Elephas maximus indicus: one gene and its partners. Each later gene encodes a partner of the first gene's protein in a complex. Links are inferred from orthologs where the notes say so. Each region holds a gene or a part of one and is shown on either strand. Other genes may lie near its edges.

Region 1 (7,097 bases):
CCCCTCCCCCAGAGGGCCTTTCCTGCCCCCCTCAACCACAGCCTCCTCTATGTTGCCGTGGTTCTGACTACCCCAGCCTCTCACCAGGCCCCTCTTGGAGATGGCTAGGTGGTAGGCATCTGGTCCTAAGCACCTTTTCTCCCCAACTAGGCCGTGAGCAACTTGAAGACAAGGAACAAGTCTGGGTCATCCATGTATCTCCCACAACACCATGCAAAGTGCCTCACGCCTCAGAGGGCTGAGCAGACAGCTCGCTGATCCACCCTGAGATTTGCTCAGCCTCGCAAAACGACACACTCTGCTCTATGAAAACCCTGGGCCTGAACATATGTTCTGTTTCTACTTATATCCACAAGGCTCACTGGACCAGAGAAAACAACCATTCTAGGACCCCACAAAAATATCAAATTAAATTAGGTTATTTTCCTAGAAAAACATTAAAACAGATTGGTTTTCTATATTAATAATATCTGTTCCCGTTGAGTCAATTACAACTCATGGTGACCCCATGTGTTACAGGGTAGAACTGAGCTCCATAGGGTTTTCTTGGCTGTAACCTGTAAGGAAGATTGCCAAGCCTTTCTTCCGTGCTGCCGTTGGGTGGGTCTGAACCAACAATCTTTCGATTGGTAGACGAGCTCAAACCCTTCTTGCCACCCAGGGAACTCATATTAACAATAACCAAAAAACCAAACCCACTGCTGTCAAGTCAATTCCAACTCATAGTGATGCTACTGGACAGAGAACTGCCATATAGAGTTTCTAAAGAGTGGCTGGTGAACTCGAATTGCTGACCTTCTGGGTAGCAGACAAATGCTTAACTACTGTGCCACCCGGGCACCCATATTAACTGAAGGTATAAAATTTAATAAATACTAAAATTCTGAACATCAGCTCTACATTATAGGCAATTACGGGCTGAGAAAAGACAGAAACAGCAAAGCAGAGAGAAAAAAAAGGCAGGAAAGCAGAGCTGAGGCAAGAGAGGAAGCCATGGCAAGCTTGAGGGTCACTGCTTGCTCCTCGTCTGGCATCCTCTTAGTGCTGTCCTGGGACTTTTTGATAATCTACTGCTCCTAGCTCTTCAATTGCTCCAATCCATAAGCCCCAAACAAAGAAAGCAAACACTAAGCCTGAAAGCTCTATCCTGCCTCATATAGCATTTCTTGAATTTCTAAATTACTTGTTGATATGTAAATCCACCAATTTTCACACAAAAATCCAGATTTCTGGTCTCTCTCGAAAAATGAGAGTATCTGATGACACTGAGCCTCTGTTCCCACATGGCAAGAATCCATGGGAACTTAACAGCAGCTGTCCTCTAGATTGGTATGAGCCCTCTAGCCTGCCACAGTCCCCACCATTCCTTATTACTGCCCTACAAGTGTTTATCATACTTGTGCTGCTGATTTCTTACACCAGAATTAAAAGAGAAATGAGACATATTTCTCATCCCTGGTCGCTATGAGTTGGAATCGACTCGATGCAGAGGGTTTGGTTTTTTGGTTTTGTGTCTCTATAAAAATGTTTACATCTTTATTCATTGATGTTACCTGCCTGTCCCCAGGAGACATGAGTTCAAAACCCTGTCTGGCTTACAGAGGGTCTATTCTAAGTAGAAGAGTCACAGCAGCCACTGGGGAATCGTTTTTGTGGTACAACAACAGTGACTAGACCCATGCTTCTCCCAAACAAAAGCCATTCCTCTAATACAGAAATCATAAACTGCCAGCCTATAGGACAATTCTAGTCCACAGCTCTGTTTTGTTTGGCTTTCATGGTATTTATTATTATTATTATTTGAGTGCCTTTTTAAAAGCTCTCTGGTTTGCCACAGTTTGTTCTCTGTCTCTGCAGGGATGTACATGTGCCATCTCAGGTCTGGGAGTTATTAGACGAAGGAAGTGTATTCAGTAAAGAATACCACTCAGTGGTAATATCATTTCTGACTTCCAACAGCAGCCTTGGAACCGCTGCCTGCTGGAATCACTGCCCCTATGGGCAGTGCAGGATGACAACATCTTCCCTGCCATGCTCAACAGGACCCAAGGTAGGCACTTACTCAATGACGGTGTCTTGGAACCAGACCCAGAGCTCTGCACCTGATGGGGCCTGCAGGAAGGGTGGTCCCCAGTATCGGGTCCTCCAGAAGCCTTGTGTGAGGGAAAGGTGGAGCTCCCGTAGAGAATACTTAGAGATCAGCTGCCCCAGGGCTTTGGGGAAGAGCCTGTAATGAGACACTGGGGGGCGGGGGAAGCAGTGGGTAAAGATCCCAAAGGCAGGGCTCTCTGTCAACCCAAAGAAGCAGCAGATCCCAGGATCTGAGTCAACGAGATCTGGATTCCAGACCAGACCGTTGCTTAACAGCGATGTGATCTTGGCCAAGTCCCTTTACCTCCCTACACCTCAATTTCTTCCTTGTAGTCGTTTACAGCACTAAGAACTGTGCCCAGCATCCAGGATAAATGAAAACCGCCAACGGCAGCAGTAGCATCATTGCTGCCAACAGATGACTAAAGACTTAGAATGGCAGCCTGGAGCTGTGTAAAGAGCACTGGACTAGGAATCAGGAGTCACTGTCCCTATCCAGGCCTCAGTTTCGCTGTCGGTACAATGGGGTTTCTTAATAACCACCCCGTCCTTCCCCAACGACCCAGCTCTTTAGTCCCCAAGCCCAGGAGCCAGAACCCCACCCTGGGGTCAGGCTCCGCACCCACATCTTGCCTCACCTCACCCCCCAGCAGGTGCCACGGAAAGCTTTCTCGGGTCAGATCCTGTCCTCTCACCTCCTTCCCGCTGCAGCTCCGAGTCCCAGCGCGTGCGGAACTGGAATGTGGCGGCTACGTCCCCGGATGGCAACGGGGTAATGACGAGCTCCTCTCGCAGGCTGTCGCGTGGGGGCTCTGCATGGCCCCAGCCGCCCGGCCAGAGAATCAACAGCACCAAGACAGCCAGCGGCACAGCCGCCGCCATGCCTGCGGCTGCCTCCACCTCCCAGCGGCGCCCGCCCCACGAAAGGCCCGCATCCAATGGGAAGAGCGGTTGATAAGCAGCTTCCGGTGCCGTCCCGGAAACCCGGATGCAATACTATACCCGTTTGACAGTTGGGAAACAAAGACTGCAAAAAGGTTAATTTTGCTAGGTCACACGCCAGGCTTCTGCCTCCCTCTACTTCCGGTATTTCCATTTGCTCAGTTCTAAGTCCATGTAAGCCCTAGTGGCACAGCGGTTGAGCGTTTGGCTGTTAACCGAGAGGTCGGTGGTTGGCACCCACCAGCCAGAGAAAGATGTGGCAGCGCGCTTCTGTAAAGATTTAAGTCTTGGAAATCCTGTGTGGTAGTTCTATTCTGTCCTGTAGAGTCGCTGTGAGTCAGAAGACTCGATAGCAGCGGATTGTTTGTTTTGGAAGCCCATCCAGCTCCTCCAGTGGCAGAGCTTTCCTGCAAAATCCCCCAAATCACTGCCCTTTTATTATGAATATTTTCAAAGTTGAAAGAACAGTGAACACCTGTTGCCCACCACGTAGATTCCACCACTAAACGTTTTACTCTGCTCGCTGTGGGAGCCCTGGTCCTGCAGTGGTTAAGCATTTGACTGCTAACCAAAAGATCGGCAGTTTGAGTCTACCAAGGTCGCTGTGAGTCCGGGAACTACTCCGCGGCAACGGGGTTGTTGTTTTTTATACTTGCTTTATCATATCCGTCTGTACATCTGTGACTCCATCTTATGTTCTGATGCATTTCAAAGTAAATTGCAGACATGAGTATTTCCCCATAAATACTTAAGCGTGCATACGATTAGCTAGAGTTCAATATTTGTTTACATTTTTTCTTTTGATGTAGAATTTACAATGAAATGCAACTTTGAAGTGTACATTCACTGAATTTTGACAAATGCACATACCTGCATAACGCATACCCTGTCAAGATACAGAACATTACTAAAACCCTAGAAAGTTCTCTAAGGACTCTTTCCAGTCAATTCCTCTCTCTGTTCCACCTTCCAGAGGCAACCATTGTCCTGATTTTTATCTACCATAGATTAATTTAGCATATTCTAGAACTTAAGATAAATGAAATTGTAACGTACACTTCTTGTGTAAGGTTTCTTTCATTTGCAGAATATTTGAGAGACCCATCCATGTTCTTGCATGTATCAACAGTTTGTTTCTTCTTACTGCTGAACAGTACTGCATTGTATGGATACCACTGTTTATCCATTCTGTTGCCTTACAGGCTAGCACTTTAAAGATTTTGGTTATTATCAACACGGCTGCTGTGCAAGTTACTTTGTAAACGTATGTTTTTCACTTCTCTTGGGTAAATATTTAGGAGTAGAACTGCTAGGCTTAAGAGTAGTTGTACGTTTAATTTTATAAGAAACTGCCAGACCTTTCTCCAAAATGTTTCTATCGTTTTATACGCTCACCGACAGTTCCTGTTACTCCACATCCTTGGATGTCAATATTTGGTGTTTTTAACTTTTTGGTCTTTTTGTCAATCGCTGGAGAAAGACATCATGCTTGGTTGAGGGTCAGTGAAAAAGAAGGAGGCCCTCAATTAAATGGATTGACACAGTTGCTGCAACAACGGGCTCAAGCATAACAATTGTGATGAGGCAGGACTGGGGAACGTTTTGTCTGTTACACAAGTCAGGTCGCTATGAGTCAGAGCCGACTCAACAGCCCTTAACAATTTTAGCCATTTGGTGTGTATGTGGTGTTTATCCTATTGTGGTTTTAATTTGCATTTCCCTGGTGCCTAGTGATGTTGAGTGTCTTTTCGTATGCTTATTCACCATTCGTATATTTTCTTTGGTGAAGTGTCTGTTCACCGCCCCCACCCCCCACCCCCAGAACCCAGCAGAGAAGTAGAGTGTGGTGGGAGGGACAGCTGGTGTCTGAATTGGTAAAAAGGCTGGAGGTATGTTTAACATTCCCCGCCCCCTACAAAAAAAACCCACTGTCAAGTCAGTTTCAATTCACTGTGACCCCACAGGGTTTCCAAGGCTGTAAGTCCCTACAGAAACAGACTGCCACATCTCTCTCCTGGGACTGGCTGATGGTTTCAAACCGCCAACCTTTTGTTAGCAGTTGAGCACCTTAACCACTGCACCACCAGGGCTCCATCTCATAGGAATCAGCCTTGGGCTAATGTTCATCTTGATTCTCTCCTCCCCCTTGAGAAGTCAGACAAAGGTCTGACGATGCCCCCACCATGCCATGCTTATAGAGGCTGAAAGCTGGGCTCCTTTCCTAGGAGTTGGCTCCAAACCATCTTTCCATCTCCAAGGACACTGTGTGGCCTCAAAAACCAGTCAGCTGAAGATGGTGGCTCTGACGGCCAGCCAAGCCCCTGTGGTTTGTCAGGGGGAAGTCATTGTCCCAACCAGGAAGTAGTCCTGGGGTCTGACCTAACGCTAGACTTCTCATGGCAGCTGAACTGAAGACTCCCCATAGGCTCACAAACAATTCTACCTCTCAAGAGGGCTGTATATCCCTATTCCCCCAAATCTTAGCACCATGTGCCTGGGGTACTAAGAGATTTATTAACATGTTGATGACAACCACCAAGCTACTCCAACTTCCTATCATTCACTCCAGAGAGAAGTGGGGTGAGCCTGAGAGCTGAGAAGCCTGCAGAGCAGAGCTATAGGGGGCTGCACCCCAAGAGAAGGTTCAGCCACACTCAGGCAGGAATGCCTTTCTTCTCCAAAGGAGGGGAGTGGAGAAGGCACAAGAGGACAGAGACCATGTCCTCTGTGTACAGCAAAGCCAAAGGAACTCAGAAAATCCCCAAACGTTAACATGAGACTGGACCCTGGCCCAGCTTGGTGGATGATCTCAACCTAGACACAGAGGATTAGGAACAAAAGGCATTCACAAACTTCCTGGATACAGGGAAAGTCTGTGAGCTCTGCCAATGGACGCATCCACCTCCCTGGAGCTCCCACAAGTTTCTCACTAGGACTAGGAAGAGCACTTAGCAGCAGTCACAACGGCCCCCTGCAGGGGTGGAAGCAGGATGGAATTATGGGAAGAATGCGGCCCTGTCACTCAGCCTGGGTAGCACCAAGAGCTTTGGGATTTAGGCTGAGGTCACTGATCCCATGGCTGGTGTTTGATGTATAAAGGGAGGTGGTTTTTTTTTCCTGATGTAAGAAATGAGTTGATGTTCATGAAAGCTGGGTCTTAGAGCCCCTTATAATTTCATTGAACCCTCTCTCCCTGGGCAAGGTCATTCACACCCATGGCATCAGTTACCACCTATATACTGATGACTCATCTGTTTTTTCTTCCAGCCCTTTCTCATCTTAGTCCCACACCCATGGATCCAAGTGCCTACTCGACATGTCCTCTTGGATGTCTCAAAGGCATCTATAACTCACCATGGCCCAAACTAAATATATTACCTCCCCAAACCTGGTTCTCTCCTAGTTCTCCATCTGGGTGAAGAGCTCTTGAATCATCTGGTTGCACCAGGCAGCAACAATGGTGGTACACTTGATCCCTTCCTCTTGCACAACCATCAAGACTTTACAAATTTGCCTCCTAAACATCTCTCTATTCTGTCTACTTTTTTCCACAAACTCTCCCCGCCACCCCAGCATCCTAGCCAGTTACCTCGTACCTAAAAAAAAAAAGACAGCTGCAATCATCTGCTGGCTGCCTGGTATCCACTGGGATCCCCTGTAATCAGTACTCCACAAGAAGTCCTTCCAGCCATTCTTCCCTTAATTTATTCCTACTCGACATTCAGATCTCAGCTCAAATGCCACTTCCTCAAGCGAAAAATCTTGTAGCCTCTCTGAGAAAGCTATTAACTCCTTCTTAGCATTCCACATAGTTGCAGTTTTACATTTGGGCCCCCACTAGGCTGTATGTGAACTCCGCAAAAGCAGGGACTGTGTCCTTTTTTTTGCTCACCACTGCACCCCTCCAAGGCCATGCTCAGTGTCTTGCACATTAGACAATGATATTTAATATTTATTGAATGAATAATGTCATTTATCTGTACCCTGCCTTGACCCAATTACCACTGTCTTCTGGGCCACCATTTCTCTTGCAAGGATTACTATCATTTGTTTGTCTGGATGGA
Region 2 (7,564 bases), about 11 Mb from region 1:
TTTCTTTTATAAGGATCAGCACAAAGGTGGTTCCTATGAGGTGGAGGTTAAAGGTGTCCCAAATGTCCTACTTTTCCAAGCCACTGTACCACTCCATCATCTCTAACATCTACTGCTCCCACTCCCCTCAGTACTCTCCCTCCTGTCTTTGGGTTCCCTAATTCGCTGCAAAGTCTCACAGAACTCACAAATCATATAAAGGAAATGGCTCACACATTTGTGGAGGCTGGCAAGTTCCAAATTCATGGGTCAGGCGTAGGGTTCTTTCAGGCCCTCAGTTTCTGCCCAAAGGCATTCAGCTTCCTCGCTCCATGAGCTGGGAAGCCCACTGCGCTGTCTTCTGTGGGTCTCTCCTGCCTTGGTGATTGTGGGCACTTCTCTTTCCTCTCAGGTGGTTCATTTCAAGCCCAATGGGATGGCAAAACTGATCAATCCCCTTGGTGGGCTGCTATTACTCTATTACATAGTCCCGCCCAATCACCTGAGTGGGAGTTACAAGACCATGGTTAGAAAGGCCACACAAAAAAGCAATCCGTTACACTACATGCCCATTTTTAAAGTGGGTTGTCTTTTTGAGTTGTACAAGTTCTTTATAAATTCTTGATGAAAAGTCCCTAGTTAGATACATGATTTGCAGATATTTTCTCCCATTCTGTGGACTCTTTTCATTTTCTTAATGGTGTCTTTTGATGCACAAAAGTTTTTAATTTTGATGGAGTCCAATGCATTGATGTCTTCTTTTGTTGCTTATGCTTTTGGTGTTATAGCTAAGAAAATATTGCCTAACCCAATATCATGAAGACTTACTCCAATGTTTCTTATTTTTAAGTTGTTATTTTTAGCTCTATCATCCATACAAACTAATGTTTGAGAACCACTGGTTTGGGTCACAGCTTCTACCCCCACTGGCTAATTACTATTTTTTTTTTTTCCAATGACAATCCTTATCCTAAGAAGAACTTTCAAGTCATCTGTCAGGATGATTTTAATAATAATATGACAGCTAACTGACATACATTATTGAGCACTTGGTATGTGCCAAGCATTTCGCATTGCATTATCTTGTTCAATCTTCACTATCATACTAGTGTTGCAATCACCTCCACTTATCAGGCAAGGAATCTGAGGCTCAGAGAGGTAAATAACTTGTTAAAGGTGAAAGCAAAGAACTGGCAGAGATCAGATTTGAACAGCTTTGTCTGGCTCCAGAGGCAGTGTTCTTAGCCTCTCCTCCCTACACTAGCTCTACAATGATGTAATATACATATTTCCTCCTTTTACATAAAAAGAGATACCAACACCTACATCTTTAGGAAAGGTTGAACAGACTAAATGAACTCATATGTATTAAAAGTACAGCACAAATCAAAACCGCAATGAGATATCATCTCACCCCGATTAGAATGGTAATGATCAAAATAACAAAAAACAATAGATGTTGATGAGGTTGTGGAGAAACTGGAACCCTCCTCCATTGCTGGTGGAAATATAAAATGGTACAGCCATTGTGGAAAACGGTTTGATGGTTCCTCAAAAAGCTGAACATGGAACTACCACATGGCCCAACAATTCCAATCCTAGATATATACCCAGTAGTGAAGGCAGTAACACAAACAGAAACCTGTGCTCATTCCAATGTCCACTGCAGCACGCTTTTCACAATAACCAAAATATGGAAACAACTGAAATGTCCATCAACAGATGAATGGATAAACAAAATCTGGTATATATGTACTTACAATGGATTATTATTCAGCCATAAAGAGAAATAAAGTCCGGATGCACGCCACAACATGGATGAACCTTGAAAACATTTTGCTGAGTGAAAATAAGTTGCAAAAGGACAAATACTATATGATCTCACTTATATGAAATAAGCAAATATATAGAAACCAAAAATTAATAGTGGTTAACAGGTGTGGGAAGGAAGGGAAAAGGAGTTTTTGCTAAGGGGGCAGTGAGTTTATGCTAATGGTGGTAAAATAATTTGGAAAAGGATAGCGAGAATGGTTGCACAACTTGAAGAATATAATCAACGTCACTGAATTGAACATGTAAAAACTGTTGGTGTATTTTTTTCTTTTTTTTATTTATTGAACTTTAGATGAAGGTTTACAGAACTAGTTTCTCATCAGTTAGTACACATGTTGTTGTATGACATTGGTTAACAACCCCACGACATGTCAACACTCTCTTCTCAACCCTTGGTTTCCTATTACTAGCTTTCCTGTTCCCTCCTGCCTTCCAGTCCCTGCCCCAGGGTTGGTGAACCCCTTTAGTCTTGTTTTGTTTCATGGGCCTGTTGAATCTTTGGCTGAAGGATGAACCTCAAGAGTGGCCTCATTACTGAGCTGAAAGGGTGTCCAGGGGACACACTCTCAGGGTTTCTCCAGTATCTGTCAGGCCAGCAAGTCTGGTCTTCCTTTTTGAGTTAGAATTTTGTTCTACATTTTTCTCCAGGAACCTCTACTGTGATCCCTGTCAGAGCAGTCAGTGCTGGTAGCCAGGCACTATCTTGTTGTACTGGACTCAGTCTGGTGGAGGCCATGGTAGATGGTCCATTAGTCCTTTGCACTAATCTTTCCCTCTTGTCTTCAGTTTTCTTCATTCTTCCTTGCTCCCGAAGGGATGAGACCAGTGGAGTATCCTAGGTGGCCGCTCATAGGCTTTTAAGACCACAGATGCTACTCAGGATTGGTGTATGTTTTGCTATGTATATTTTCATCACAATTAAAAAAAAAAGTATGGCACAGTGCTTTGCACTCAGTGGACGAGAATACCTCTCTCTATTCCTTCTTAATTTTCTCCTTACCCTCTCCTAGGTGATCTACTCCTCCCAATGGTTCAGAAAGCTATCAGCCTGGGGCTGATTTTTGCACTCCCCTAGCATCCTGCTCCCTTTTTTCCTTCTCCCATCAGGGTATGTGATATTATTTTTACTTGTGTTATTCTTTTTGACTGTCTTCTACTATTACTCTTCTCCTCTACTACTCTCCAAGTTCTACAAAGGCAGAAGGGGGGCCATGGTGGTGGTGCAATATTATCACTGCAATATTCCCTAATACCCAGTATAGCCTGCACATACAGTGATCTTTTAAAAATGTACATTTGGAGAGTTATTGCTTAAAGGGTGCTGAATTTCTGTTAAGGGTGATGAAAAAAATCATCAACAGATAGTAGTGACGGTTGCTCAACACGGTGAACATACTGTCACTGAACTGTACGTGTAAAAATGGTCGAAATGGCAAATGCTTTGTAAAATATATTTTACTACAACAAAATAATTTAAAAAAATGTACATCTGATTACATCACTTTCTGGTTTAAAATTCTTCAATGGCTCAATGGGTTGCACTTTGATAAAAACCAAATTCCCAATCAAAGCCAACAGGTACCTGCCTCACCACCCACACATTCTACCACTCTGTTCCCTGGCCACTCCCACTGGGGCCATACTTTTTCATTTCTGATCCTCAAGCACACCTTGCTGTTTCCTGCCTCAGGACCTATTTCCTCCTCCTGGAAACTCTGATTAGTTTTTAATCCTTCAGGTCTCAGCTCAAATGCCACCTCTTTCCAGAGCCTTCCCTGATCACTTCCAGGAACTGTTACCATTGCTCTTTGCCAACACTTATTTTTAATTACGCACCAGTTTTATTTTCTTTAGAGAGCTCAAATTTCCTTGTACCTTTATTTAATACTAATATAGAACATGTGAGCACTTACCACAAGCAGTTGCCATACATTAACTAGTGAGGTGGCATGCTGTTTAATGCTTATCAACTGGTTCTCAAAACCAAAATGCCCTGATTTGTAGTTTGTTGATTTATATAAACACTGGCACCGGGGCGAATTACAAGCTACCAACCGGAGGTAACCGAACTCCCATTTGAGAAGAGGACAGCGGCATACCATTATATAGTATTTCTGCCATAGATTTAGCGGTTATAACCTCAAGAGTACAGATAAAACTATAAAACAGGTAAAATAATGAGGAAGTAACGAGTTTTTAGTATTTTTGCCTTTGTTTTTAATTGAATTAACTGTAAACTTACATTCTTTAATTTTTAACAATGTGTTTAACCGCTTAGCAAAATCTCTAAACATTTCTCAATCGTCTAAGGCGAGCCTGTACCAGCCAACTCCAGTGCATTTTCCAGACCTGACGTACAGAAAGTTAAGCAACTTGTTCAAGGTCAGAAAGCTAGTAAGTCTGTCTACTACTCCAAAATGTATCCTCAGAACCCAATATAGTGCCTAGCATAAAGCTGGCGTTCAATAAACACCTGTAGAATAACTAAATGAATCAATATTTAATACTCTTTAAAAAATATACACTTAAGAATGAACTAGCTTTTAAACTCGCTCATAAGCCCAGGAAGAAAACTGCTTTCAACACAGCTCCACCTGCCGCGGTTTTGCGCTTCACCTGTTCTTGGGGAAGGCGTCGCCCTACGGTTTGAAACAAGCTTGAGCCGCCTCGCTTTCCGTCGTCCTGGCCAGCCTCGCCGCAAGGCCTCCTGGGGGTGTTAGTACCCAAGTTGGGTTGTACCGGCGGCAGCTGCGGCGCGCGCGGGATCGCAGAACTACAGGCAGTGGCGCGCAGGCCACGGGGCTCTTCCGCCTGGCCTTTCCCTCCCCGCCTGCGCGCCCGCCCCAGCTATCATGGCGGCTCCCTTGGCCCTGGTGCTGGTGGTGGCTGTGACCGTGCGGGCGGCCTTGTTCCGCTGCAGCTTGGCCGAGTTCATTTCCGAGCGGGTGGAGGTGGTGTCTCCACTGAGCTCTTGGAAAAGAGGTGAGGCCACTGGCTCGGGTAGGGTGCCAGGTCCCGCCTGCGCTGTCCCGGCTTCCGTGAATGGGAGGCAGGGGCAATGGCCTTGAGCGCGCTGTTCTGAAGGAACTGACCCGCTTCTGGAGTGCTTGGGGAGGGCGTGGGGCTCGGTGCTGAGGGCGGGGCCGTTGAGAGGAGAGGGCGTGGGGCGGGGTTGTGAGGCGAACGTTCTGGGGCCTGACCACCTGAGGGGGCGTGTCCCGTTGAGGGGCCAAAGCCTAGGGACGTGGTCCATGGAAGGTTTCGGATTAGAGGCGGTGGTCCTGGGTGGAGTGGGATTTGGAGAGGTGATTGGGATTTAGTGCAGGATGGCAGGCAGTCCTACCCTGGAATAGGGGATGTGCGTGGGGGGGGGGGGCGGGGGTGAGGGGGCCAGGCTTGCCTAAGCAAGGAGAATGTGTATGAGTGTGTGTTTACCGCTTCTCACTCTGGGTCTTGCAGTGAAATTTTTCCTACTATTCCTTCTTATTTAAATTCTTCATCAAACATTGTTTTATAGTAGCACTTACAATGAGATGCATTTTAGGCTGGAGGAGCCACAGGCTGGTGGAGGAGAAAAGACAAGCAGGTAGTTATAATCATGGAAGAGAAGTGTACTTCCTGTGTCCACCCAGTTCCTTCCTTAGCGTTTCTGACCCTGAATAAACCATTTCTTTCTTTCCCAGCTTCCTAAAGATGCTGGATTTGAGATGCCTTTTGAAGGATGTAGATTAGACAGAGGTGCAGTTCCAGGCAACAGAAGATAAACAGGATCAAAAAATGTTCAAGGACGTGAAATATCTGTTTACCTTGGGGCCAGAATTTGAAAGTTTATTTAAAAACAAAACAAGTTTTTTATTTAACTGAAGTGTAGTGTACATACAGTGCACATATAGTAAGTGTAGAGCTCAATGAATTTTTATAAGCCGAATACACCCAGATCAAGAAACAAAACATTACCAGCACTCCAGAAGTCCCCTTATGCCCTTAAAAAAAAAAGAAAAAATTAAATGCTAGAGCTTTGACGTTATCCCATAGATGTTTTAGGATACGAAATGGCATAATAAATGGGTGTTTTATGGATAATCAGAGCTAAAATTTTTAAAATAGTATGTATCAGGGACTATCAGAAACCCTGGGGGCGTAGTGGTTAAGTGCTACGGCCGCTAACCAAAATGTCAGCCGTTTGAATCCACCACGCGCTCCCGGAAACTCTGTGGGGCAATTCTCCTCTGTCCTACAGTGTCAGTATGAGTCGGAATCGCCTCTACGGCAATGGTTTTATGGGTAAGCCTTTTACATGCCTTTTCTCATTTAATCTGCACAGTAATTCTGTGAGATAGATGCTGTTATTTTTTCCATTTTACAGTCGAGGAAACAGATATAGTGAAGTTAAGCAACTTGCCCAGGTTTCCCAGTAATTCATGTGTGAGATACTAAGAGGTTGGACTTGATATCTTTGTATATAATTATTTATTGAAATAAAGCCACTTGGTTTCTGCTTTCTTCTGGGTACCGGGGGACCCAAGGCAGCATTAGGCCCTCCTCCCACTGGTCTCGTAGTGCGTTGTACATGCCTCTGTTAAGAGTACGGTTGTTGTTGGGTGATACGGAGTTGGTTTCAACTCATAGTGACCCCATGTGACAGAGTAGAACTGCCCCATAGGGTTTTCTTGGCTGTAATATTTATGGAAGCAGATTGCCCGGTCTCTCTCCCATAGAGCTACAGGGTGAGTTCAAACCGCCAAGTTTTTGTTTGCGCCACTTGGGGACTCCTAGATACTGTTACTAGCCTCATTTTATAGATGAGAAAATTGGGGTACAGAGAGATTAAGTCACTTGCCCCAGGTCACGTAGCTAATAATGTCTTATGTGAAGAGCTAGCAAGCTTTTCGCATGACTCTTGCACTGGAGTTTATACTATCTTGTGTAGAAGTCTGTCAGTAATAATAGTGGAACCCTTCTGCTGTATTTTGGTCTTTCTTCAGCCTCTGACCCCAAAGATTAGGAGTTAGTATGTATTTAGCTTCTTGAGTTCAGGATAGAGCTCAGGGTATTGATGCTTATTTAGAAATACACCTCCAGTGAGAGTCAGGGTCAGCAGTGGTATCGCTTTTGATACCACTACTTCAAAAAAATTTTTTTATTGTAAAGTAAATACAGAGGCAGGAAACCACACATAACAAATATATTGCTCAGTGAATTATAATAAGGTGAACATTTTTATATCTGTCATCCAAGTCAAGAATCAGAACTTTGCTACCCATTCCAGAAGCCTCTTCCACATGTCTCATCCCAGCCACAGCCCTCTTCCTCCCCTCTGGTAACCATTCTCCTGACTATTAAGTAATGATGTCTTTGCATTTAAAAAGACGTTTTATCACCCAAATGAGCAACCCTAAACACTATAGTTTAGTCTTCCCCTTATAAAAATGTTTTTATATGTCTTTTATAGCTCTTAATCTCTGAGGGTTTCTGGCAATCCCTTTCTTTGCTTTAATATTTTTCTGTTGTAGAACTAAGACTATTTGACCTGTAGAGTTCTTTTCCTGACTGTTTGTTCTTGGTATAGTTCAATAAGTTCCTCTGTCTTCTGTATTGCCTGCACATTGGTAGCTTTTTGTTTGTTTTTAACTTTATTTGAAATTTTAGACTTACAGAAGAGTTGTGAAGACAGTGCAGAGAGATTCCATATACCCTTCATTCAGCCTCCCTTATTGTTAACATCTTATATAACTACAGGCGTGTTGTTAGG
Region 3 (7,892 bases), on another chromosome or scaffold:
AAAAACACCATCCCATCTCCACCGGCCCTCTACGGAGTATCTAGGCCACCCCTCTAGCTCCCACTCACACCCGGCTGACCAAACCACTTGACCTCTCTGGCCCTCAGTGACCCAAGCTGAAACACAAAGTGTCTCATTCCCAGCTTTCCCAGAGACACACTGGAGGTAAGCCAAGGTATGAAAATTACACACTCAAAAAAAAAAAAAAGGAAAACCACACTCAAGAGATCACATGAAAAGGGATTCATGTTACAAAGATGCCCTCCCCATACCTTGCACACTGCTCAACGATAGGGCCTCCTCCTCGTGGTCTAGAGCCCTCCGGTAAGCCTTCTGGAAACGGCATTTGATTTTCATTTTGTCTGGGAGGGAGAGGAAGAAGCGTGATGGGAAGGGCAAGTCTCAGATCTCTCTGCCCATCGCCCGCAGTCCTAACACTGCCCAGTGTGAGAACAGCAAGATGAGTGCAGAGAAAGATCAAGACGCTCCAGCCAACTCTAATGATTTCTGCATGGATGGTATCAAACACACGGCACTCCACTTCTTCCATCTGCCCCAGCTCCCGCCTCTCTGCCTGTGTACACGCTGTAGTATCCTCCAACTGTGAGATCTACTACTATAATCATTACAGTAATGGCTTCAAGTGCTGCCCCACCCCTGCCCCAAAACGCCAAGGAAGTTCAATAAACATACCTGATAAAAACAAAGGTGCACACTGAATGACAAAATACTAAATACGGTTCCGTTAAAGTCGGTAAAAAACAGAACAAAAAACAAGGATGCCTGCTATCGCCTCTATTATTACTTTCTATTATTTGATACTGTTCTTTCTAAAGATCCAAACCAACATAATAAGTGAAGAAAAAGACTTACAAATACTTGAAAGAAAAAGATAAAATGGCCATTTTTGAAGACGGTATATTTTCTTGGAAAATTAAGAAGTAACCATCTGAAAAGCTATTAGAACTAGTAGCAACAGTTCAGTAAGATGACCAGATACGAGAATACACACAAATCAATAACCTTCTGATAAATATTCAATTAGAAAAATAGTAATTTTTAAAAATCCCAATCGTAGCAACAATAAAAATTATAAAAGTGCCCAAGAATAAAAGTACAAAATCATAATAAGAAAATGCGAGAACTTTACTGAAGTCAGAATTGACTCGACGGCACCGGGTTTACTGAAGAACATAAAAAAAGACCCCGGTAAGATGGAAAAAGCATACAAGTCTCTTGCAGAGAACGACTAAATATTGTAAGGATGTCAATTCTCCCCAAGTTAATCTATACATGTAAGGTGATTCCAAAGGGATTTTTTTTTCCTGGAACTTGACAAGCTGAACTAAATATTTAATGGGAAAGTTCTTCCTTCCTTATAGAAGAAATCCAAGCCATATAAGTGGAAGACAGAATTAGAAAATTATCATTTTTGCAACCACTAATGAAAGAGATTTCAGGATCAATGGATCAGATCAATGGATTGGATGAAAGGTTGATGGGGAACATTAAAATATAGAGATCAGGCTGACAATACCTGAACTCATCAAATAATTTTTGCATCATCAAAAGTGAACAAAACCAAAAACCAAACCCATTGCCATCAAGTGGATTCCAACTCATGGTGAACCTATAGGACAGAGCAGAGCTGCCCCACAAGGTTTCCAAGGCTGTAATCTTTACAAAAGAAGACTACCGTTATCTTTCTCCCTCAGCTGGTGGCTGGTTGGTTCAAGCTGAGTTAGCAGCTGAGTGCTTCAATCACTGCGCACACTACCAGGGATCTCACCTGTATTCCTACTCATCCTTTAAATAGCTGGCTTAAAAGTTACATCTCTCAGTCTTCTCGCCTTTCTTTCCTCCCAGTTAAATCTGTTTCTTAAATGCTATCGCTGGTTCTTGTATGCTTCTGTAATTTCTTTAGCTAAGTGTCCTTCTCCCCTACCTATGAACTTCTTGAAACAATTATCTACTTAATTTTTCCCTGAATTCCTGGTACCTAAGAAAAAGCACCTAATATTCTGTGAAGTGTTTAACGTTAAACTGAAAAGGACCTGTATTCAAACCCAATTTAATTTCAAAATCTATGTTCTTTCCACTATATCCCCCTTCCTCCCCTATTCTCTGATGAGCATCAACTGCTTCTGATAAGGCACCAGAACTATTTTATGAATAAAATCTCCGCCTTAATGACAGACAGTGAATTTAGTGTTCTTCTAACCAAACATACTCTTCCTTCAGACAGAGCTTTTACCAGTAAGTTTCTAACTACCTTTATGGGACACCCAGGTTCCTTCCCCAACCCACCTCTGGTCTGAGCTCAGGCCGGAAGGGCAGTCCTGGCCCCCCAGAACTCACATTTCAGCGGGATCTCTCTCTCATGCACAACGGTGAAGGGCAGCTTCTCCAGGTCATCCACGGGCACTGACTCCCGGGCAAACACGACAGTGACAGGCACCATGAGCCGCAGCTGCGGGAAGGGGCGTCAGGGACGTCCGCTGAGTCTCCACCTTGACAGTGGGCTGTCCCCCAGTCCTCCCCTAAGGAGTCTCACCTGCAGGGCATTCAGTCCATTGATCTGGGAGTAGGGCAATGAGGCGCGGTAGGTCTCCGTGGTCTTCCACCAGAGTGGCAGCCCCAACACGATGGCCACAGCAGCGAAGAAGAGAGCGGCGCGCTTGCCCCGGACCACCTCTAGGGACACGGGGGACCGACTAAGGCGTAGGGGTCGAGCTCGGAGGCCAGGCCCAGCCCCAACGGGGAGGAGGCCGGGCAACCGGGGCCCAGAGGCCCTCGGCCCGCGTCAGTAGGGATGTCCGCCCGAGGGGCCTCAACTCTGAAGGGACCCCTGTCTGAGACCCCTGCCCCATGTCTGCGGGGTCACCATCCCCACCCCCGCATTCCTCCCTGGGCGTCCAAGAAACACCACGCGAGTCCCACCGCACCTATATCTGTGGCGGCGGCCCCTGCGGCCGCCATGCTCGCTTCCGGCTGCTCAAGCCGCCGAGGGGCGGAGCTGCACGTGCCTCCTCCAATCGGAAGCCCCGTAGGGAGGGGGCGGGACCACGGCAACGACGGCTCCGCTAGAGAGTGGCACTCCAAACTGCCAGGCGGGAGAAAGCCGGCGGCGTGGGCGGGGTCTGCATGGAGCCTCGCTGGGAATTCGAAAGGAGGGTACAAGGACAAGGAGGGGCGAGTGACGGCGTTGCTGGGGGCACCTGATTAAGCTCCAGCTTTCAAAAAAAAAATTTTTTTTCTTGTAGAACACATTCCGAGCCCCCAGGGATTAAGAACGTAAATTCTGCAGTCATTAAATACTAGCTAGGCGACCAAGGAGCAAATTACTTCGCAACTCTGAGCCTGTTTTCTCGTGTTAAATGGTGAGAGCATTCGTGTAAAGACCCTCAAGGCACTCAAATGTCAACTACTACCATCACTGTTTATCATCCCCTTCATAGCGCTGCCTCTTCTGGGAGCCCTATCCTCACCCTCAAACACGGAGGTGGCAAGCTACTAACTCTTAGCAAAATTGGCTCACTCAGTGCAGTGTTTTAATTCACCTTGTATTCATTTTCAACTTGTAAAACTTCAGACACTTAAAAATCTTGAAAATTCATAAGAACACAGACTTTGAATCCTGATCACTTGGGTTCAAATCCTAGCTTCACCACTTAATACCTGAGTAATCTTGAGTGAGTTAATTAACTGCTGTAACTGTTCCCTCATGTTAAAATAGGGACAATAGTACTTACTTTACAGGATTGTTGTATTAAACGAGTTAGTATACGTAGAGTGACTAGAACCGGGCCTGGCAAGAGCACGTAAAAAGTGCTATCTCTGTTAGCTATTTTTGTTATAAGGTCAGGCCTACATTCCCACTTTGCAATAATTAACTGGGTGAAGCGTAGCTCTCAGTTCACACAACACACCCAGCATGTTCCCACATCTCTTTATCTTACTAGTCTGCTCATGCAGATTCAGGTGCTCAGCCTGCCTCACACTCCAGCCAACTGGTCAAAGTTCAGCACGAGGCCCTACCAAGTCTGCCCTTGCTCAGAACCCCAAATTGTCCCCCTCTGTGCCTTTTCCCCAAATGGGAGTGGGCTATAGCACTTCGCAATTTCCTAGGTACCCTGCCCAGCGTAGCAGCCCCCAGAAGCCCAGGTGATTCTGTTGCGGCTTCCCCTAGCTGAATGTTTCAGGCCCCAGCAGGGCTCAACACAGATGAGATATAAGAGACTTCCACCCCCTCTTCTCCCAGCTTGTCCTGCTGCCTCCTTGTTTGGGGCCTTGCACACAATCTGCCTTCAGGAGTTGCTCTGGTCTTGCCTCACTCCATCCTTCTGCAGCTGCAGCCTAGTGCCCCTGATGTGGCAGTCCTCGGAAGACTTGCAACCCTTCACACTGCCCCACTCCAGCCTTAGGTAACAGCAGGCAAGAGACTAAGCTGGTGATAATGAATGGGTGTGCCCCTCCCCCATAAACCTGAAGCCCTCCAACTCAAAACTGATCCTGTCTACCACCACCATCAGAGGGCCCAGAGACAGAATCAGCAAAGGTCAGCAACTGGGAGGTGGCAATTTGACGCGGAAAACAGACAGACAGAGTAGCATGTTTGCTACCATTTATTTGCTATGTGGTATGTATTCAGCATGAATCAGGGCTAGTGTCCTACCCTCTGGTCCCAGAAGAGGAGAGGCAAGAAGGAGAGCCCAAGGAGAAGCTACCCCATCGTGGGGAAATTGTAGGGGGTTACAGAGGCACACAGAAGACCCAGGCATCCCGCTCTGACTTCTAGCAAGTCCTCCTGCCCTCAGTCATCAGGGGCTTCCCATCCTATGGTCCCAGGTGCAACATGGGAGAGGGGAGGGAAGAAGATAAAATGGAGAACTTGGCACTGAATGGAGGCCCTCTGCTCTGCATGGCTACTTGGCCCGGGCCATAACTACAGGCAAAATTGGGTGCATGTGGCCAGGTCAAGGACTGTGGTGTGGAATGGGTGCTCAGTAGGCATGGTTGGCAATGTAGAGGGACTGTGCTGCGGCTCCTCCATCTTCTCCGCTACCTTCATACTTGCCCTGAGCTGCAAGCCCATTCACCTGTAAGATTGGAGAGAGAGAGGGGAGGTATGTAAGGGAGATCAGCTGGACTCAGGCTGAGCCAGCTCACAGGTGCCAAACCTTCCCAGGCTGTAGTCTATGGGTGCTGCCCCCTGCTAGGCTACACGCCACCACTGCCACCCCCTTATCACCACCTCTAGCTCCCAACCTCAGCCCGCTTGATGAATTCCTCAGTGGCAGCCCCAGCATTGTCCTGCTGCCCTCGCCAGGCATTGAGTGCAGAGGCCTGCAGGGCACGCCCATAGGAGAAGGTGAGGGCCCAGGGTCGGGGAAGGGGGCAACGGTTGATGGCATTGAGGTTGAGCGATGCCTCCTCTTCACTCTGACCCCCAGACAAGAAGGTCACACCTAGGGTGGAGGAGAGAAGACAAACTGGTCATTCCCTATTTTTCCAGGGCAAGAGACCCTTGAAGGCCACAAGAACCTGAAGATGGGCCTTAGGGATAGAAGCAGGGTGATACCTGGGACAGCTGGGGGCACAGTGCGACGCAAGGCAGTGACGGTCGCCATGGCGATCTCCTCTGGGGTATACTTGATGGGACAGGCATGGCCAGGGGTCACCATGTTGGGTTTCAGTAGGGTCCCCTCCAGGTAAACATGATGGTCACTCAGGGCTTTGTACACAGCAGCCAGGACCTGGGGATCAGAAGGGATTTCTAAGGTTCTGGGTCCCTTACGGGTCCACTTACTGCTCTATAGTCCTTATCCAGGGAGTGGAGGGGTGGGCATAGATTGTGAGGGCTCAGTACAGGCTCAGACCCACAGGCCTGTTCTGGAATCAAGTAAAAAGAATCTTTGGAAAAGTGTACCTGGATCTGAGCCAGGAACTATGGGGAACAGGCTGCCCTGTCAAGCTGTCCCTGTGGTATGTGCCCAGGTGAGGACTCACCTTCTCTGTAACATACTGGCAACGTTTGAGGTCATGGTCTCCATCAGGCAGGATTTCAGGTTCCACAATAGGCACAATACCATTCTGCAGGTAAGAGCAGAGTGGCTTGGGAGGGGCAGTAGGTAGGACGGGAGAAAGCCCTATAACCTTCTCCCCACCAGGCACAGGACACCCATCTAATCACCCCCCCACACACACACACCTGCTGGCAGATGCTGGCATAGCGGGCCAGCACGTTGGCATTCTCCAGAATGGCAAGTGCTGAGGGCGTGCGCTCAGTGATTTTCAGTACACAGCGCCACTTGGCGAAGTCGGCGCCATCCTTCTTGTACTGGGCACAGCGTTCTGAGAGCCCATCCAGCCCTGTAGACACAATGCCAGCCTCATCACTCTGCCCCTCTTTTGCTTGCATCAACCTTCCAGCACCCCTGTGGTCCTGAAGCCCACCCACCCTGTACCTTGAGTGGTGGTTTCTCCATCAGTCCCAGCTAGAGGCACCACACCCTTGTCAACCTGTAGGGGATACACATGCAGAGAGCTGAACCCAAGCAGGATCCCCCTTGCCGACCCTCCCACAGATACCTATTTCCGCATCCAACCCCTACCCAGGGCCAGTGGCTGCACCTTGATGCCCACAACGATGCCCTTATCCTGGATTGTACGGACAAAGGGGATGCCGTTATCATCTTTCTGGTAGAGTGTCTCATGGAAGAAGATGACACCTCCAATGCACTTCTTCACTCGGTCATCGGCACTAAACAGGACCTGGCGGTACAGCCGGCGGTTCTCCTCTGTGTTCTCTACCCCAATTTGGCTCAGCCGTTTGGCCATGCTACCTGGAGACAAACAAGGAGGGGCAGCAAGGCCATCCCCAGGGCTCTCTGAACACCTTTACCCCACCTAGCCACAGGCCTCCACCTACCTACAGACTCATCTGCAGCCAGAATGCCTTTGCCTGGAGCCACAATCCGGAGGGCAATGTCAGACAACTCCTTCTTCTGCTCAGGAGAAAGTGCTGGGTACGAGTTGGGCATGGTGACAGCTCTCTGGAATGGAGACAAGACCCATACCTCCTCTACTTCCTCTCCTGGCCAGATGGGCCAAATGGCTTGCCCCCACCCCCCACCCCCAGCATGGGGCTGGGAACATGGCAGCAGTCCTTGGCATGGGTCCCAGGCATCAAAGTGGCACCACTCTGACAGCTAGCGGGCTCAGAGCCCTAGTTCTCACACCTCCTTTTTTCCCTGGTGGGCACCCTTCCCAGCCCCAGCAAAAGATTCAGGGGGGAGGGGAAGCGAGCAGCCCTAAAACTACAGGTCTTATGAAACTGCTGCCCAGTCAAGGATGCCAACCCTTCTCCCTCTGAATTCAGTTCTTCCCTGAGATAGGCATAAACCCTGGCCTTTCTAACTTCTCCTTTCTCATCCTCAGTAGGGCCCCTAAGGAAACTGCACTCACTTCCAAGGCTTCAGAAGGAGGCATAAGTACTACGCATCATCTCCCACCCCTTCCCTCAGCTTCTGGAGGAAAACGTTGGGACGAAGGGGGCAGGTAGGGAGTAGGGGTGGCACAAAGGACAGCCATAGGCTTCCAGAACCTCTCCTCTTCCATACCCCAAATTTCCTATGCCTACTGCCTACTCACCACCCCATTGCCAGAGGCTGGCCCCAGTGGACTGCACAAGTGTTTCAGGGAAGATGGCCAGTAGGTCAGCTAGGTTAGTATGGGAAGACTGGGGGAAGTGACACCACCAGGCCACCCCCAGTGCCCAGAAGCACTTGCCCTGTGTGGAGGGAGGGATGGGAAATAGGGAGCACTTCAATTTCCCAGAACTCAGACACCCAGAGGGGAGACAGGGGCAGAGGCTTGGGGCTGAAAGGAAT

The links.
Region 2: the proteins of PIGT (region 1) and PIGU are in contact, whole or in part, in a cryo-EM structure (PDB 8IMX), measured with the Homo sapiens proteins. The link is inferred for Elephas maximus indicus from reciprocal best matches to the Homo sapiens genes PIGT and PIGU. Residues at the interface, in NP_057021.2 of Homo sapiens: Tyr361, Gly362, Leu363, Gln364, Lys365, Arg394, Leu395, Tyr396, Val397, His398, Tyr416, Pro418, Ala419, Gln420, Asp421, Arg422, Gln445, Glu447, Leu450, Leu451, Lys452, Trp453, Thr454, Pro518, Thr519, Pro520, Asp521, Phe522, Ser523, Met524; in NP_536724.1 of Homo sapiens: Glu30, Lys42, Arg43, Val45, Glu46, Ser49, Leu50, Leu53, Val55, Ser59, Gly60, Ala61, Val62, Pro265, Asp266, Leu267, Pro269, Leu273, Trp275, Tyr276, Phe277, Phe278, Ala279, Glu280, Met281, Phe282, Glu283, Phe289, Phe293, Asn296.
Region 3: the proteins of PIGT (region 1) and PIGS are in contact, whole or in part, in a cryo-EM structure (PDB 8IMY), measured with the Homo sapiens proteins. The link is inferred for Elephas maximus indicus from reciprocal best matches to the Homo sapiens genes PIGT and PIGS. Residues at the interface, in NP_057021.2 of Homo sapiens: Pro26, Arg27, Val63, Ser64, His65, Tyr66, Arg67, Lys71, Gln75, Lys79, Tyr80, Val133, Gly136, Lys191, Leu193, Pro194, Cys195, Ser196, Lys198, Ala199, Glu270, Pro271, Pro273, Leu274, Tyr526, Ile529, Cys530, Cys533, Val536, Ala537; in NP_149975.1 of Homo sapiens: Thr9, Glu12, Val13, Gly16, Ala19, Ala20, Phe23, Thr230, Pro238, Lys239, Tyr244, Ile247, Glu248, Val251, Gln256, Val270, Asp271, Ser272, Gln273, Ile274, Tyr276, Tyr277, Met279, Ser309, Arg310, Ser313, Ser314, Ala315, Ala316, Phe513.

What each region holds. Positions count from the first base shown.
Region 1 is NC_064843.1:23,850,467-23,857,563, forward strand, and holds the start of PIGT (GPI transamidase component PIG-T), read right to left. Parts: upstream 3,016-7,097; 5' UTR 2,974-3,015; coding exon 2,787-2,973; intron 2,241-2,786; coding exon 2,063-2,240; intron 1-2,062. UniProt on the Homo sapiens protein: Component of the glycosylphosphatidylinositol-anchor (GPI-anchor) transamidase (GPI-T) complex that catalyzes the formation of the linkage between a proprotein and a GPI-anchor and participates in GPI anchored protein biosynthesis.
Region 2 is NC_064843.1:34,776,412-34,783,975, forward strand, and holds the start of PIGU (phosphatidylinositol glycan anchor biosynthesis class U protein), read left to right. Parts: upstream 1-4,563; 5' UTR 4,564-4,664; coding exon 4,665-4,794; intron 4,795-7,564. UniProt on the Homo sapiens protein: Component of the glycosylphosphatidylinositol-anchor (GPI-anchor) transamidase (GPI-T) complex that catalyzes the formation of the linkage between a proprotein and a GPI-anchor and participates in GPI anchored protein biosynthesis.
Region 3 is NC_064837.1:23,322,692-23,330,583, reverse strand, and holds the start of PIGS (GPI transamidase component PIG-S), read right to left. Parts: upstream 3,002-7,892; 5' UTR 2,980-3,001; coding exon 2,946-2,979; intron 2,695-2,945; coding exon 2,555-2,694; intron 2,471-2,554; coding exon 2,359-2,470; intron 363-2,358; coding exon 273-362; intron 1-272. Other genes in the region: ALDOC (fructose-bisphosphate aldolase C), read right to left, coding at 5,004-5,099, 5,269-5,468, 5,582-5,756, 6,010-6,093, 6,212-6,372, 6,468-6,522, 6,634-6,845, 6,932-7,043. UniProt on the Homo sapiens protein: Component of the glycosylphosphatidylinositol-anchor (GPI-anchor) transamidase (GPI-T) complex that catalyzes the formation of the linkage between a proprotein and a GPI-anchor and participates in GPI anchored protein biosynthesis.